Linked DNA regions of Caenorhabditis elegans. The protein of the gene in region 1 purifies or fractionates together with the protein of each later gene. This does not show direct contact. Each region holds a gene or a part of one and is shown in the gene's direction. Other genes may lie near its edges. The genes, in order: B0228.7, dph-5, C29F5.1 and F42F12.4.

Region 1 (3,642 bases):
TCACTGTTTTCTCATTCAATTTTACTTTCAGTACACGAATGTAAAGGTTGAGTATTTTGAGAATTTCTTGGATTGGAGAATTTATCAAATTCAACAGAACTGCACAGAATCCAGAACAAAGTAAGGTTTTAAAGATTTAATTTGAAGCAATTTTCCGACGATTTCTGTAATATTATAAATATATTTAAAGAATGTCCAAGAGTGATGCATCAGTTGTTAAAATGGCTCTAGCTTCTCGTCGATGGGATCAAATGCTCAATAAAGGACTCAGCTGGGATACACTTCAAGCATTCAAAGAAATGTTTGATAAAAGCAAATTTCATGGATATACATGCGGAATGAAATTTGAGAATTGGGGTATAAAATAATTGAAACTTTACCTAACAATATTCATATTTTCAGCGAAATTTGATAACTGGTTGACTGGTTTTTCAAATTTCTATGCGAAATCTGTTCCGAAGCAAACAAATGTGTACGCATACCAGGATTCGAAAATAGGCTTTTGGATAGTTAATACAATGTCTGCAGCAAGTGATAACAGTACATCAACTCATCGTGTATTCTTTGAAGGATATTATGTATGTTAAATGTATTGTTTGAGAATCTATAGGATATTATTTCAGAAAGATGATTTCTGGCAGTTGGATCATGTGGGATTCACCTGTAATGAATAAAATGTTTAACTATTTGATCTATTACAGTAACGAAAATAAAATATGTATTTGTTTATTTTTTATTACTTGGAATGAAATTCAATACTTTTGCCGTATTTATTTTCGTCATCTCTTGGGCACTCTATGTATGTGTCTTCGTAAAGTTGTGTTATACCTCGAAAAGTAGCACCTCTTTGTAATTTTCTTCTAGTTTGACCGTTTCAAATGCATATTTTATTCATGTCAGTTATATAGTGAGCATTTAACGCTGAAATAGAGCACATCGGTTTCCATAGCTGTCCTAGTTGGCCTTGGAGATTGTTCAGATTTTCTATATACATTGCCTTTCGTTGACGAAGAAAAGTTTCTCAGTCTGCTCACTTTTTCTCTGAACATTGTGTTTTTAATGTTTTCTCAAAGACCTTGAAAGTATTGATAATGAGAAAAAACTTCAGAAAAATCACGTTTCTTCTTTTGATTTACTAGACAGTTGATATCTCTTCATCGGGAAATTAACATCGGGATTGTTTTTTTTGAAAAATAAAACTATTTAAAACCCGAAATTCAATTTATATTTTTTATTTCACTGTTTTTTTTCTTTAATGTGATTTCTGCGATTTCCAGGGACACCGAAAATTAATCTAGGCCTGCACTACTATTCACTACAGTAATTTTAAAGGCGCATACACAAAAATGTTTTCTGCAGTGCGCGCGGCAAGACCATTCGGCATATGTGCACCTCCCTTGAAATTGAAACAGGAAACATTTTTTTTTTGTTTTTTTTGTTGTTTTTTTCTAAACTTTTTCAGAAAACAAGAAGAATTGTAGGAAAACTGTAAATATTTTAAAATCTAAAACAAATATCGAAAAAATCCATATCATGACTATTAAAAAAAAAAAATTTTGAAACATTATATCTTGTTAATTTGATTTTGAATTCAATTTTTCCACTTCTATTCCACTTTTCGATTGAAAAAAAGGAAAAAAGAGCACCGTAAATGCGCCTTCCCCATCGTCTCTTTCTCTGTGCCTTGGCGCCGTTCCAGTTTCCTCTCCTCTATACCACGAAAACAGCTTGTGCACCTCGTCTCATATGGCTTTGTATTGATTTTTTCCTGAATGGAGTACACTATGTGTCGTGAGTTGGTTGTGTTATCAGTATTATCTTTGATTAGATAAAACAGTTTATTGCACTTTTTGGCTCAGTCTTTTCGGATTCAAAATATTTTAGGCCTAATTATATTTTTGTTCAGTGCTGTTCAAACATGGTCAAGGTTGGAATTATTGGAGGAAGTGGTTTGGAAGATCCAAATATTTTACTGGATCCAGTCACAGTTGCCGTAGATACACCATATGGAAAACCAAGTGATGATGTTGTAGAAGGTGAAAAATTAATTAGTTATTTTTTAAATGTTAACATATTCCATTTAGGAACCATAAATGGAGTCGAATGTGTTTTGTTGGCTCGACATGGTAGAAAACATGATATAATGCCAGGAAACGTAAACTTCCGCGCAAATTTGTGGGCACTCTATTCCAGAGGTGACATTTTCTTTTAAAAAATTTATTCGAAAAAAATAATTTTTTGTAGGTGTCGATGTCATAATCGCATCTACAGCATGCGGATCTCTCCAGGAAAACGTCGAACCAGGACATTTACTGTTCCCAGACTCAGTGTTCGATAGGTATTAAATCGCAATCACGAAAAAAAAAAAATTTTTCAAAATTTAGAACAACTGGGCGCCAAAGCACATTCTTCGATGGAAGCTACGATCAAGCTCCAGGAGTCTGTCATATTCAAGCTCATCCAACGTACAATGAGAAACTGAGACAGGTAATTTTTAAAAATTTATTAAAACGGAATTATATCCTAATTTATAGGTTCTAATTTCAACTGCTGAAAGATGTCAACTTGTCCATCATAGAACCGGTTTCGGAGTGTGCATTGAAGGTCCACGATTCTCAACAAAAGCTGAGAGCATGGTGTTTAAGTCATGGGGAGCAAGCTTAGTTAACATGACAATGATGCCAGAGGTATTTGAAAATTGGAGACGTAGTTGTTGATAACCTCTATATTTTCAGTGTATTCTTGCCAAGGAACTCGGTATTCCATACGCTACCACAGCTCTTGTCACTGACTACGATTGCTGGAAAGAAGAAGATCATGTGACTGCATCATCTGTAATGAAAGTGTTTGCAGCAAATGTTGAAAAGGCCAAGACATTGTTCGTAGAAGCTGTTGGAGAAATCGGAAAAATTGATTGGAGCGCAGAAATTCTTAAACTCAAGGTAAACTGTTAAAAGATTGAAAAATGAAAATAAATTGAATTTATAGACCGAAGCTCGCGAATCTGTCATGATTTCACCGGACGTCGTCATTCCATTCCTCACCACTGACAATCAGAAAAAGTTTTAAAATTTATTTTACAATCATTAAAATAAAGATATTATTGCAAAGTTAACGTTTCGAAGTTTCTCGAATCTTATCAAGAAGTGTATGAAATTCTGATCATTCAAAGAACGATTAGATTCCCGAACAGACGGAAACGCTCGCTGTATCAACAGTTGTTTCATTCAAAAGTGCACCGCAAACGTTTATGCCCTCGGACACGATGCAACCATCGGTTCCATGGTGTAGCGGTTAGCACTCAGGACTTTGAATCCTGCGACCCGAGTTCAAATCTCGGTGGAACCTATGGTTTTTGTTTTAAACTGAAGCAAAATCTTTCTTTTACTACGGTAGAATTTTCTTTATTGTGTGAGACAAAACATTCAAAAGAAATCAAGAGGTAAACTTTCAAAATGTTTCGTGAGTTGTAGTTCGGACTGCTTCTGTATTATTGCCAATATTGTCCAATTTGAAGATATGCGGGTGATAGTGTTTACGGAAAATATCATATTCCTTTGGAGTCAGTACGTCACGAATCAAATCCTTGACTGATCCAACAAATCTTTCATTGATTGTTTCAGCAATTAGAGCAAAAGCCAT
Region 2 (3,464 bases), 3.6 Mb from region 1:
GCATTTATATATTCGAATATATTCCAGTTTTCTCCACAAATGCAATGTGTCCGGAGTTTTGTGAAGAACGAAACGTTCAATCGAAATAAGGTAATTTGTCTATTTTCAACGAATTCATCGAATTAATGATGTTCTTCCAGATTTTACTAGTGGCATTCGTGGCAAGGATAATTCTCGTTTTCTACGCACACATTCACGATTATCTATTCAAGGTTTGATAATTTTACATCATCAAAATAAGTTTAAACTCAGTGTTTCAGGTGAATTTCACAGACATCGACTATCACGTGTTCTCCGACGCTGCCAAACATGTCTCAAACGGTGGAAGCCCATTCGACAGAGCCACTTACCGATATACGCCTGCGCTAGCATGGATTCTTTTGCCTGTTGTGCATTTCCCGGACTTTGGAAAGATTCTCTTCTGCATTTTCGACATCCTGGTGGCGATTCTGTATTTTAAAATAATGGAGAAAGATTTAAACGAAACAAAAAGCGAAACACGAGAAGAAATGAAAGATGATCAAACAATGAATGTCGTGATTTACTGGCTTGCGAATCCACTGACCGCTATCATCTCAGCCAGAGGAAATGCAGAATCTATTGTTGCTGCAGTCGTGCTTCTGAATATTGTGCTACTTCAAAAAGGATACTGGAAATCTGCAGCTCTAGTTCACGGCGCCCTTGCGATCCAATTGAAGATTTATCCATTGATTTATCTCCCATCAGTTTTTCTGAGTCTTTCAACAATTGGAGAACAAAGTTGTGTTGTGAACAAGTTTAAAAGTTTGGTTTCTAACTGGAAAGGCTTCGCATATATGCTGGTAAGTTATTTTTCTTAAAAACATGGAATTCTCAATGTTAAAAAGATTTAGGTAACTCTCACATCATTCGCAGCGGTGGTACTATTCTTCTTCCAAATCTACGGACAACTATTCCTCGATGAATATCTGATCTACCACGTCAAAAGAAGAGATCTCGCCCATAACTTCTCGCCGTACTTCTACCTATTGTACCTGTATGAAGCGAATCCGACAATGTCACAGATCATCGGCCTCGGAGCATTCATTCCACAAATTGTGCTGATCGTGTTCTTCGCCTTCAAGCATTACGATGATCTTCCCTTCTGCTGGTTTATCACCACCTTCGCATTTGTTACATATAACAAAGTGTGCACAAGTCAGTACTTTGTCTGGTACATTGTTCTTCTACCTTTACTCGCTCATAAAATTATGGTAAATTATTATTTTTAAAACTAGTTTTTTCCTAAATTCCACCTTTTTCCAGATGTCCCGACAACTAGCGTTATCTCTAATGGCCGCGTGGTTCGCAACACAAGGAATCTGGCTTCTCGCTGCGTATTTATTCGAATTCCAAGGATGGAATACATTCTTTTTGATGTTCCTGGCCTCCTGCCTGTTTTTGATTGCAAATTCATTTATTCTCAAACAAATTATCAATCATTATGTACCAATAGTCAAGCCAAAAACCGATTGATCTCATTCTGTAAAATGATATTTATGTTCACTTAAAGCTTTAGTCGCCTTTTTCATATGGGTAATTACTTGTATTTATTTTTAAAATTAATAAATTTTATTGCATTTTTTATTGCTCCATCATTTCTGGAACCTTATATTATCGGTTATTATCTCATCCGATAACTGATTTTCTTTTATTTATTAATTGTATTGATATCAGCTGATAATTAGTTATGAACTGCAATTTAAAAAAAAAAACTTCAGATGGTATTTTATTTGATTGGTTTGGGACTTGGAGACGTTGAAGACATCACTGTCAAAGGATTAAATATTGTCAAGTATTTATAAAATATAATTAATGCAAAATTAAATATTTTTATTCAGAAACTGTGCTCGCGTTCATCTAGAAGCCTACACAAGCATTTTATGCTATGGATTGGACAAAACAAATCTCGAAAAGTTCTACGGAAGAGAGATCATTGAAGCCGATCGGACAGTCGTCGAGCAGGAGTCTGATGCGATTTTAAATGGAGCCGATAAGGAAGACGTAGCTCTACTTGTCGTTGGAGACCCGTTCGGAGCAACTACACATGCGGATCTGGTGTTGCGTGCTAAGCAACAGAATATTCCGGTGATTTGAGGAAGCTAAATTTGATTCCAGTCACGGAACGTGCAAAACATAAACTAAAAAACTAGAAACTTCCTTTAAACTTTCATATAACTTGAATTTTTTGTGTGTTCAAAATATTAAGAGGTTTTTTTTAAAAATAAATTAAAACTTCCTTCGTTTCAGGTCAAAGTGATTCACAATGCTTCCATCATGAATGCAGTTGGCTGTTGTGGACTACAACTCTACAATTTCGGAGAAACAGTTTCAATTGTAATGTGGACTGACGAGTGGCAGCCGGAGAGCTATTACGATAAAATCGCGTTGAATCGTAAACGTGGAATGCACACTTTATGCCTGCTGGATATCAAAACCAAAGAGCAAACTGTCGAAAATATGATGCGTGGGCGGAAGATCTTCGAGCCAGCCAGGTATCAAAAGTGCTCCGAAGCGGCTCGACAACTGCTGACCATTTATGAGAGACGAAAAGCCAAGGGAGAAGAGTGTGCCTATGATGAGAACACGATGGTTGTCGGCTTGGCAAGAGTTGGATGGGACAATCAGAAGATCGTATACGCGAGTATGAAAGATATGAGTGAGATGGAGATGGGCGAACCTCTACATTCACTGATTATTCCTGGTGAAACCCATCCTTTGGAAGTCGACATGTTGGAAACTTTCAGGCCATAATTCCCCAAAATTGTTCCTTTTTTTGTTCTTATTCTTGTTCTGTTGTCTGTTGCTAATTACTTTTTCCACATTTTTTCAAACTTTTTTTGTTTAGTTTTTCGTTTTTTTTTTTTTTCATTTTGTTAGTCTCAAAAAAATTAATCTTCATTTCAAACTTTTTCCCACACACCGCGATTTTTTAATCCTCTTCCAATTTATCCGTATCCAGTTTCGCCTTCAAACTTTTGACCCTGGGAATGGAGGAAGAAAGCAAAAAAAAAAATGGCAGTACAACTAGAGGTCATCCGTCAACTGGGGATTACCGGAAGAAGTCGTTGCACATTTCTCACTTTTTAAATTTTCCTGCTATTAAAATTGCATTCCTATTTAGATAGTATTTTTAATAGGAATTTTCCAGAAGATCGACGACAATATTCTATTGAGTTAGCAAAGCAAAGCGGAAAAAACTAGTGAGCCACGAGAAGGCGGAGCTGTAATTGAGAACACCAAAACCTGACACGACGAAAAAGAGACTAGTAACATAAATAGTCAAAACAAGTTTTTTCTCCCTGTGCTCCGTGAGTACCTCAATCATGATTCGCGCAACGTCCTGCACAGCTCTTTTTTCCGGCCTGGAGAGGGTGGAGTTTCGAAGGTTGCTGCTCCAGGCCCTGCTCACACACACATGTCTTCCCTCTTCCTCGTCTTCTTCC
Region 3 (4,986 bases), 1.5 Mb from region 1:
ATATCGATGTATAAAAGGCAAGAATAAATGATGAATAGAAGTGAGGATAAGGTAACATTAGATCAGTGTTGCTTCATTGTGGGTAGTGTTCTGTTGACAAAAAAGTGTCTCCTAAGTTTAGATTTTCCTGTGCTCCAGATATATTTCTTTTTAGAACGAGTGTGGGTCTCTTGTTGCTCAAAAAACTCAGATGTTTTTAAGTCTACTTTACCAGTATTCATTCTGATTACTTGGATTCTGTCAATTATTTTACGTCTCGTGCTTAAGGTTTGGAGGTCGAATAGTTCGTTACGTTCCATGGCAGTTTTGTAATCTTTATCAGTTGGATTAATATATCTTTTTTTGATTCTACTATAAAGGCGCCTAGAAAATGCGTTTTGTACAGACTCTATTGCTTTCTCATCCGATTTTTTTGTCGGAGAAGACACTACTGTTCCATATTCTAAACGAGGGCGGATGAAAGTTTTGTATAAGAGAATCATTAGTTTCTTATTGGAGGTACTGTACTGGTTGAACATGTTGGCCAGTTGAAATTTAGCTAGATTGATACATTTCTTCCAATGCTCAGAGAAATCCAGCTTTTCAGAGAATAAAAATCCAAGGTCTCTGGTAATAGCTTTTCGTTCAATAGGGTAACCGTCTAGGTGGTATTTGAAATCTATTCTACGTTTTTCTACAGTGACGTGAACTGTCTTTGATTGGTTTAGAGTGAGTTTTGATCCCCTTGTCCAATCTACTACAGCATCTAGAGCAGACTGTAAATTGTTTTCGCTTTCAGTCTTAGGGGTCGATACATACAATTTCGTGTCATCTGCAAACTGTTTACATGCTACTTTTTCGGGTAATATTGATGATATATCATTAACATAGATACCAAACAAAAGTGGTGACAGAACTGCGCCTTGTGGGACGCCACAAGTGGCCAATTTTCTGGATGACAGCGTTTGCCCAATTCTAACCCTAAAGCTTCTATTTGATCCTTTGTTGGCACAATCTTCTGGAAATTGATACTCCTCGATATCCAATTGATCACAAACATCGATATTCTTCAGAGTCTCTTTTTTAAATATCCAATCAACATTATTTAGCATATTTTGAAGGGAATTAACAGTCTACAGAAATTTATATTTATTCATCCTTTGTGAACAGTATGGAAGCGTTTTGAATAAAAAAGTTCCCAAGTTTTTGTTTAATGTTGCTCGAATTTTTATTTGCTAATCTTTTTGAGGTTTGAAATCTAACTGGTTGGGAAATCGTTCTGTCTAAAATTTATCATTATGAGCTTTCAAATAAAATATTTGTCATTCTACAGCCTCGTGATACAGATTTCTGTCTTTAGAAAATTATAAATTAAGCGAACGCTGAAATACTTATTCTCAACATTTTAAATTATTCGTTATCACAAAAACGTAGCCCAATGCTCCCACTCCAGGTGATGGTCAATCGATGTGTGCGTGTGTCCTCCAAATCTATACGAAATCTTTTCATTGTCTTTATTTTCTCCGAGATATTGGGATCCCGTCATCATCATCGGTGTTTCGAAACTTTGTCGATGAGATTGGACGGGAGCTCCTGCTCCCCCGCATTGTAATCTTATCTGAGTCTCTGTCTTCATAGACTATTTTTTGTTCCCGAACACCCCCTCATGTGCTCTCTCTCTCTCTTTCGTAGGGATCCGTTGTGCTGAAGAATGGCCTCTCTTTAAAACACAACACGTCGCTGGACAGATCGCCGTATAGCCGCTGTTCGATATGTCTGCCGACGGATTCTGGTTGTTTGAAGGTCTTGAAGAAGAACCATACGGTCTTCTTCCATTAAACAATTTATCTGGAAAGGTGAGTAGTTATTAAATATCGATGTAGGACTTTTTTTTTGGTTGGAGAATGTTTTTCTAGCTATTGTATTTCTTTACTTATTAATGAATTTCACAATTGAGAAGATGCCGAGCATTCACTTATGACCAACCAACATGGTAAAACTTCTTGATATTTTATTGTATTAGTTTAAAAGTTGTCTTCTAGATTTTTTGCTACAAAAATTAGAATTTTTAAGTTTCCTAGCTTAAAATTTTAAATGTCTTATGAAAATATTATAATTAGAAATATATGGAAGTTTTTTAAAAATATATGGAAATTTTTTTGTTGTATAAAGATCCATTAAAAATTAAATGATTTGCTGAAGATTTTGTGGAAAAAATGTATGAAAGTAAATGTGAGATTACAGTAAACGTGAGAGCGAATCATCTACTGTTTTCGTTAATAAAAATCAATTTTACAGGGAGGACCAACAAGTACAAAATATGTAGACCGTATTGGATCGTATCAATGGTATCTCAATGATGAGACAGCAACTATTCTTGTTCCAGGAGCACCTGTTGAATCATTCTATTGGCCAGGTGGCAAGTTGATGCAAGATCATGGAGTGATTATTTATGACGTCAATCATTTGAAAGTGAGTTCATAAGTTGTTGACTGAAACACGAGTTGAAGCACGAGAAGCGTGTAGATTTTTTTATTTGGAAAACAAAAATCAATCCATTTTTACAAGCAATGTGCTGATTTGGAAATCAATATAATTACAGGTACGGGAAGGATCTTTGGATGCCATCATTATTGCGGCACGTTTGCTCAGTGAGAAAAAGAAGAAACCAATCGATTTCTCTCAATTCCATTTTATCACGGATGCTATCAATTTGCAAAAGATTTTTGCATTCTGTAATGAAGCCGGAGAAGGATTGTTCCGAATCGATTGTGAACGCGTTGGAAAGACTGTTCTGCTCACTAGGTAAAAATAAATAGGTAGTATATATACCTATGTATAGGTAATAAATAAAAATAAGGTACCGTATATCCTCTATTAGTTTTGCACCCCTTGGCTCAACTTTGGCAGCTCATATCTCAGTAGTCGTTTGTTCTATAGAAAAGTTGTCAACTGATAAAATATTTGTTAGGTGGTTTTCTATAGTATGTAGTTTGTTAATTATTTATATGTTCAAAACAAAATGAGATATGAGCTGTCAAAGTTGAGCAAAGGGGTGCAAAACTAATAGAGGATATACGGTAGGCATGCAAACTGAAAACGAGAAAATTTAGTTTTATCTGTTTATTAAAAACTTTTTTGTTTTTAAAAAGTTTTTATAGTTTTCGTGATGCTTAGTAACTGGATTTTTCAAAATTCAGAAAAGTTTAGAACTTGAAATAAATTCTTGAAAAATTCGCACCAAAAAGTGAACATCTGCCTTGTCAGCCCTTCTCAAAGCAAAACTTCTAAACTTTTCGGTATTCTTATTTACTCAAAACAAACCAATAATTGTATTTCAGAATGGAAGCTTCTGATTTAATGGAAATCGGACATGTAACTTTTGATCAAAATCTGAAACATCGAATGACTCGCCCCCGTGGTGCTCATTCAACGGGTCCATTCTTCCAACTTGTTTCATATCAATATGGGCAATTCCGAATTCTTGTTAGATATGAAGTTGACTGTGCTGATTATGCAGCTGTCAAAGCCACTCCGTATGTTTTTTTTTGTAATAGTAAACAAAAAATTAAATTATTTTAGAGTCCCAGTAGATAAATCTGAAGTTCTGCCAGAGAAAAAGAAAAGTGATATGAACCCGGATATTGAAGTAGTGAATTATGGAGAAGTACCACATGATGTTCCACTTCAAGTACTCACAACATACCCACAAGGAGCTGGATTCCCATTTTTCACGTGGGCTCAGTTGTTCTTCACTAATGCTAACCATGTAAGTTTATGAAATATTTTGAAAAAAGATTTTTATACTCGACTGTAACTTAGACAGAATTATGAACATCTTGTCAATGTCTTGTCCAAGTATATGTAGATAGATTTTGGTACGATATTTCCAACAGATGCTTCCAACTTGGACAAAAAAGGTTTATCCACGCTTTTTGCAACTTCTGCCACAACTTTTACCATTTTATTATTTTTTGAGCGCATAATGAACAGCGTTTTTTGAGAGAGATTTTCTCAATATAAAATAGTTATGGGCCTACGAAATTGCGCAAAAAATAAAACTCATCAGATCAATAATTTTACATTTTCCACCCATCAAAAAAATTATCTAATTGCAGGAGCTTCTTGGTTGGTTCAAAGGAAACGGAGATTTCGGAAAGCCAGCTATTTACACTTTGCAAGATGTCTCTAAAATGATGAAGCCCCTTCCGTTGGTCTCTTTGTGCAAAGTTCACGACTGTCTTGACAAAGTTTACAAATTCTTGACTAAGAACGATGACAATTTCCGATGTGGACTTGTGTGGAAAGGAAAAGCTCATCTGGAAATCTTCGCGAAACACGAAGAAGCAACTGGTGGAATCAGTAAGGGAGTCCGTGATTTCTTGGCTACACAATGCAAAGATGATGAGCCAGAAGAGCAAAAGTGATTGATGAATGACCGTTTCCAATTTAATTTCCTTTTTGTATAATGTGTTCTAACAAATAAATAATTGTGTTTTGGAAGCGAGAATCATTAAATAGAAACCAGTTTTATCATCACTTCTTGGAAAAGAAGAACAATGTCCGTTGTTATTTCTAGACTTTCCAGCTTAAAACACACCTATAAATGGCCCCTCTGATATGATCAATGTTGATTCAAACTTATGATGATTCTATTCATTTTTTTCATTTTATTCATATGCCACGTCACTAGTTTCCACGTAACTCATATCAGTGACTGTGGAACTGCAAGAGGTTGTTGGAAACTACCAAATGGATGTAAAGATGCCAGTGACTGTCAGACAATGATGACGTGGAAACATGAAAGAAGACATTTGATTATTGAAATTGAAAGTAAACTGGTGAAGCCTGATATGTGGCTCGGTTTCGGATTTTCAAAAGATGGTTTGATGGTAGGCTTGTTTGGAAGTTTTGAAATGTTGCTTTATTCTTGTCTCTAAATGTTGCTAATTGTGAAAGCATTCAAATTTTAAAAAATCGTGTGTAAGACTTATCATGTTCCAGTCC
Region 4 (3,353 bases), on another chromosome or scaffold:
ATAAAATGGCTACAGGGATTTTCAAAAAGGGATTTTCAAAAAAATTAGTTTGTAGCCAGATATTAATTTTCAAAGTTTGGTAAATCTACTAATTTCCTATACCATTATATTTCAAAATGTGCTCCAATATTAGGCCTGAAAACGTACTTTTTCTGCTTAAACTCGGTGGTTATGAAAGATTTTGCAATGCTGTTTTTAAATTCAGAAAGAACACGAAATTTGCAATAAAATGGCTACAGGGATTTTCAAAAAGGGATTTTCAAAAAAATTAGTTTGTAGCCAGATATTAATTTTCAAAGTTTGGTAAATCTACTAATTTCCTATACCATTATATTTTAAAATGTGCTCCAATATTAGGCCTGAAAACGTACTTTTTCTGCTTAAACTCGGTGGTTATGAAAGTTTTTGCAATGCTGTTTTTAAATTCAGAAAGAACACGAAATTTGCAATAAAATGGCTACAGGGATTTTCAAAAAGGGATTTTCAAAAAAATTAGTTTGTAGCCAGATATTAATTTTCAAAGTTTGGTAAATCTACTAATTTCCTATTCCATTCTATTTTAAAATGTGCTCCAAAATAAGGCCTGAAAACGTTTTTTTTCTGCTTAAACTCGGTGGTTATGAAAGTTTTTGCAATGCTGTTTTTAAATTCAGAAAGAACACGAAATTTGCAATAAAATGGCTACAGGGATTTTCCAAAAAGTTAGTTTGAAGCCAGATATTAATTTTCAAAGCTTGGTAAATCTACTAATTTCCCATTCCATTCTATTTTAAAATGTGCTCCAAAATAAGGCCTGAAAACGTTTTTTTTCTGCTTAAACTCGGTGGTTATGAAAGTTTTTGCAATGCTGTTTTTAAATTCAGAAAGAACACGAAATTTGCAATAAAATGGCTACAGGGATTTTCCAAAAAGATAGTTTGAAGCCAGATATTAATTTTCAAAGCTTGGTAAATCTACTAATTTCCCATTCCATTCTATTTTAAAATGTGCTCCAAAATTAGGCCTGAAAACGTACTTTTTCTGCTTAAACTCGGTGGTTATGAAAGTTTTTGCAATGCTGTTTTTAAATTCTGAAAACAAAGTTCTGTGCTGGTGTCAATGGTGATGAATCTTACGCATTCTGCTCTCCATGGATCAGTTTTGCCACTCAAACCAACAAAACTTGCTACAATTTCTGTGTTCATAACTGTGCTGCTGTCTATGATGGTTCCTGCACAACTGATAAAGACTTCAGATGCTGCTTGAAAACCACACCAGCTAAAAAACAAGATAAGCGGTTGCAACAAACTCTACAATAATCTTTAAATTTGTATGTGTTTCTCAGTCGTTTACACATTCATTCAATAAAAATTGTTTGCAAAACAAAATGTGTTGATATAAAACGAAAGGACTCTATGAAAACTCTTTTACGGAAACTTTAAAAACGGTAATAGCACCCACATTTAAAATGCGATCACAAATATGTGTAAAATTTGTTGAGCAGCTTCTTCATAATAGTGGTGCAGTATCTGATAGTCCTGAACTGACTTTTTGCCAACCCAGCAATAATTGTGAAAACGTCAGCAATTCTGTAGTTTTTTAATATTTTAAACAAACTAGTGTTTGTAAAATCCAATTCCGATCGCTGCGATTATATTAAATCAAATGTATTTGTGATAAAGTCACTTCATAATTCAATTCAAACCAAACAGGTATTTTTCAAATGACCGAATGGTATCTAACTAGTTCACAATGTCTATAAAAAGTGGTCTCCGTTATCGGTGTGTTCATCGAAACAGTCTTTGCTGTCCATCGCACTGTTATCGATTTTATTACATTTATGAAATGCACCTCCGTTCTTTGTTCTTCGTTTTTTTCTCTTTTTTTTTAGCCAATTCTCTACTGATTTTAATATTTCCAGAGATGGCGTATTTCATGACTGATGTTACCAAGGAAAATCGCCAAGATGAATGCAGATTTTCGCCGAACAAAGAAGCTACCGAAGAAGATCTTTTGCGAATTGGAGTCGAATGCACAAAAGTAATATTTGAGGCATTTCTCAAACAATGATTTTCCTTTCAGGTCAACTTTGATGACGAACATGTTCAAGAGGACTTGGATCGTCTTATCAAGAAATATGACATGAATTTTCACGACGAAGTTCATATTTGTCGTGCCACCATGCCGAATTTCGATGAAAAAGTAAACAATTTGAAAGTCAATAACAGAAATAAACATTTGCATTTTCAGCTTGACATCTTCTTTGAAGAACATCTTCACGATGATGCGGAACTTCGTGTAATTAAGCATGGCGTTGGGTTCTTTGACGTCAGAACAAAAGACGTGAGTTTTATTGAAAAAAAAAGTTTTTGAAAAAGTGTTAATGCAGTTCGATGGCAAATGTTGAAAAATTTATGATCTCCAATTTTCATGATGATATCTGAAAAATTACGGAAGTTATTAGAAACATTCCAAATGTTCAAATCGTTAAAAAAAAACTTCCTTTTTCAAAGAAAAACAAAAAAAAAAAAAGAAAAACAGGAAGCTTGGATCCGCATCCCAGTTCGTCGAGGAGACTTTGTTTTTCTTCCCGCAGGAATCTACCATCGCTTCACTACCGATCCTTCGGTGAGTTTTTGTATACTAATTTTATTGGAACTATAGTGAAGAAATATTAATTTTCAGGAAGACGTCGTTGCTCTGAGACTTTTCCGAAATAATCCCAAGTGGACTGCATTCAACCGCAAAGCTGATGGAGATGAGCAACGAGTTCGCCAGCAATATTTGAACGATATTTCTGCTTAATTACAACGTCTAGTCAATTTCCGTGGTTTGCATATTTCTGTATTTGATGCAATAAACAGTCCATTTGTGTCAACGAAATAGTAAAGTTGAAAAGCAAAAACTACTGTTAATGTTGTGATTCGCGTTACCATATTGAAAAAAGGTTTTTTGTGCCCTGATATGGAGCTGGTCAATGTCGCTTAAAAATTATATACTTATTCAATATCTTCATTTGAAAATCTGTGTTTTGTGTCTCATCTGTAAATGTCTTGTTTGTTGTTTTCAGCAGAGATGTTCCTATTCAACTTTCAGTTTTAGATACTGTTAAAAACTTATGTCATTTAAAAAAAGTTATTTGAAAATTATTTGCAATTTTAGAAACTTTTCATCACACGGTAAACTTGAAGCATTAGAAATTAGATGCCGATGCCGATCAACGGAATGTGAGGTGAGTAAAACTATAAAAATTACAACAAAACAAATAATTGTAAATTAATAGATGTACGGAATTAGGGCACGACGCGTTGGTGGGTATTTCGGGAACTTCTCCTTGTACCAACTGAAAATTTATATATTGATGTTCGGGGACA

Evidence for each region.
Region 2: the proteins of B0228.7 (region 1) and dph-5 fractionate together in Caenorhabditis elegans (co-fractionation; one large-scale study listed by BioGRID). This does not show direct contact.
Region 3: the proteins of B0228.7 (region 1) and C29F5.1 fractionate together in Caenorhabditis elegans (co-fractionation; one large-scale study listed by BioGRID). This does not show direct contact.
Region 4: the proteins of B0228.7 (region 1) and F42F12.4 fractionate together in Caenorhabditis elegans (co-fractionation; one large-scale study listed by BioGRID). This does not show direct contact.

Annotation. Positions count from the first base shown.
Region 1 is NC_003280.10:7,756,655-7,760,296, reverse strand, and holds B0228.7 (S-methyl-5'-thioadenosine phosphorylase), read left to right. Parts: upstream 1-1,906; 5' UTR 1,907-1,918; coding exon 1,919-2,036; intron 2,037-2,084; coding exon 2,085-2,195; intron 2,196-2,244; coding exon 2,245-2,338; intron 2,339-2,384; coding exon 2,385-2,487; intron 2,488-2,534; coding exon 2,535-2,687; intron 2,688-2,735; coding exon 2,736-2,942; intron 2,943-2,988; coding exon 2,989-3,069; 3' UTR 3,070-3,107; downstream 3,108-3,642. Other genes in the region: B0228.8 (uncharacterized protein), read left to right, coding at 32-120, 191-357, 403-587; B0228.1 (uncharacterized protein), read right to left, coding at 3,451-3,642. UniProt on the Caenorhabditis elegans protein: Catalyzes the reversible phosphorylation of S-methyl-5'-thioadenosine (MTA) to adenine and 5-methylthioribose-1-phosphate. Involved in the breakdown of MTA, a major by-product of polyamine biosynthesis.
Region 2 is NC_003280.10:11,348,453-11,351,916, forward strand, and holds dph-5 (diphthine methyl ester synthase), read left to right. Parts: upstream 1-1,739; coding exon 1,740-1,813; intron 1,814-1,859; coding exon 1,860-2,106; intron 2,107-2,268; coding exon 2,269-2,772; 3' UTR 2,773-2,921; downstream 2,922-3,464. Other genes in the region: pigm-1 (GPI alpha-1,4-mannosyltransferase I, catalytic subunit), read left to right, coding at 40-90, 141-212, 261-821, 873-1,232, 1,285-1,494.
Region 3 is NC_003280.10:6,301,804-6,306,789, forward strand, and holds C29F5.1 (START domain-containing protein), read left to right. Parts: upstream 1-1,721; 5' UTR 1,722-1,751; coding exon 1,752-1,835; intron 1,836-2,277; coding exon 2,278-2,451; intron 2,452-2,581; coding exon 2,582-2,784; intron 2,785-3,320; coding exon 3,321-3,515; intron 3,516-3,561; coding exon 3,562-3,748; intron 3,749-4,097; coding exon 4,098-4,406; 3' UTR 4,407-4,480; downstream 4,481-4,986. Other genes in the region: C29F5.8 (DOMON domain-containing protein), read left to right, coding at 4,626-4,871.
Region 4 is NC_003284.9:12,351,495-12,354,847, reverse strand, and holds F42F12.4 (Acireductone dioxygenase), read left to right. Parts: upstream 1-1,900; 5' UTR 1,901-1,902; coding exon 1,903-2,019; intron 2,020-2,061; coding exon 2,062-2,181; intron 2,182-2,229; coding exon 2,230-2,322; intron 2,323-2,520; coding exon 2,521-2,607; intron 2,608-2,664; coding exon 2,665-2,784; 3' UTR 2,785-2,853; downstream 2,854-3,353. Other genes in the region: srdf-2.2 (3-oxo-5alpha-steroid 4-dehydrogenase (NADP(+))), read right to left, coding at 3,256-3,322.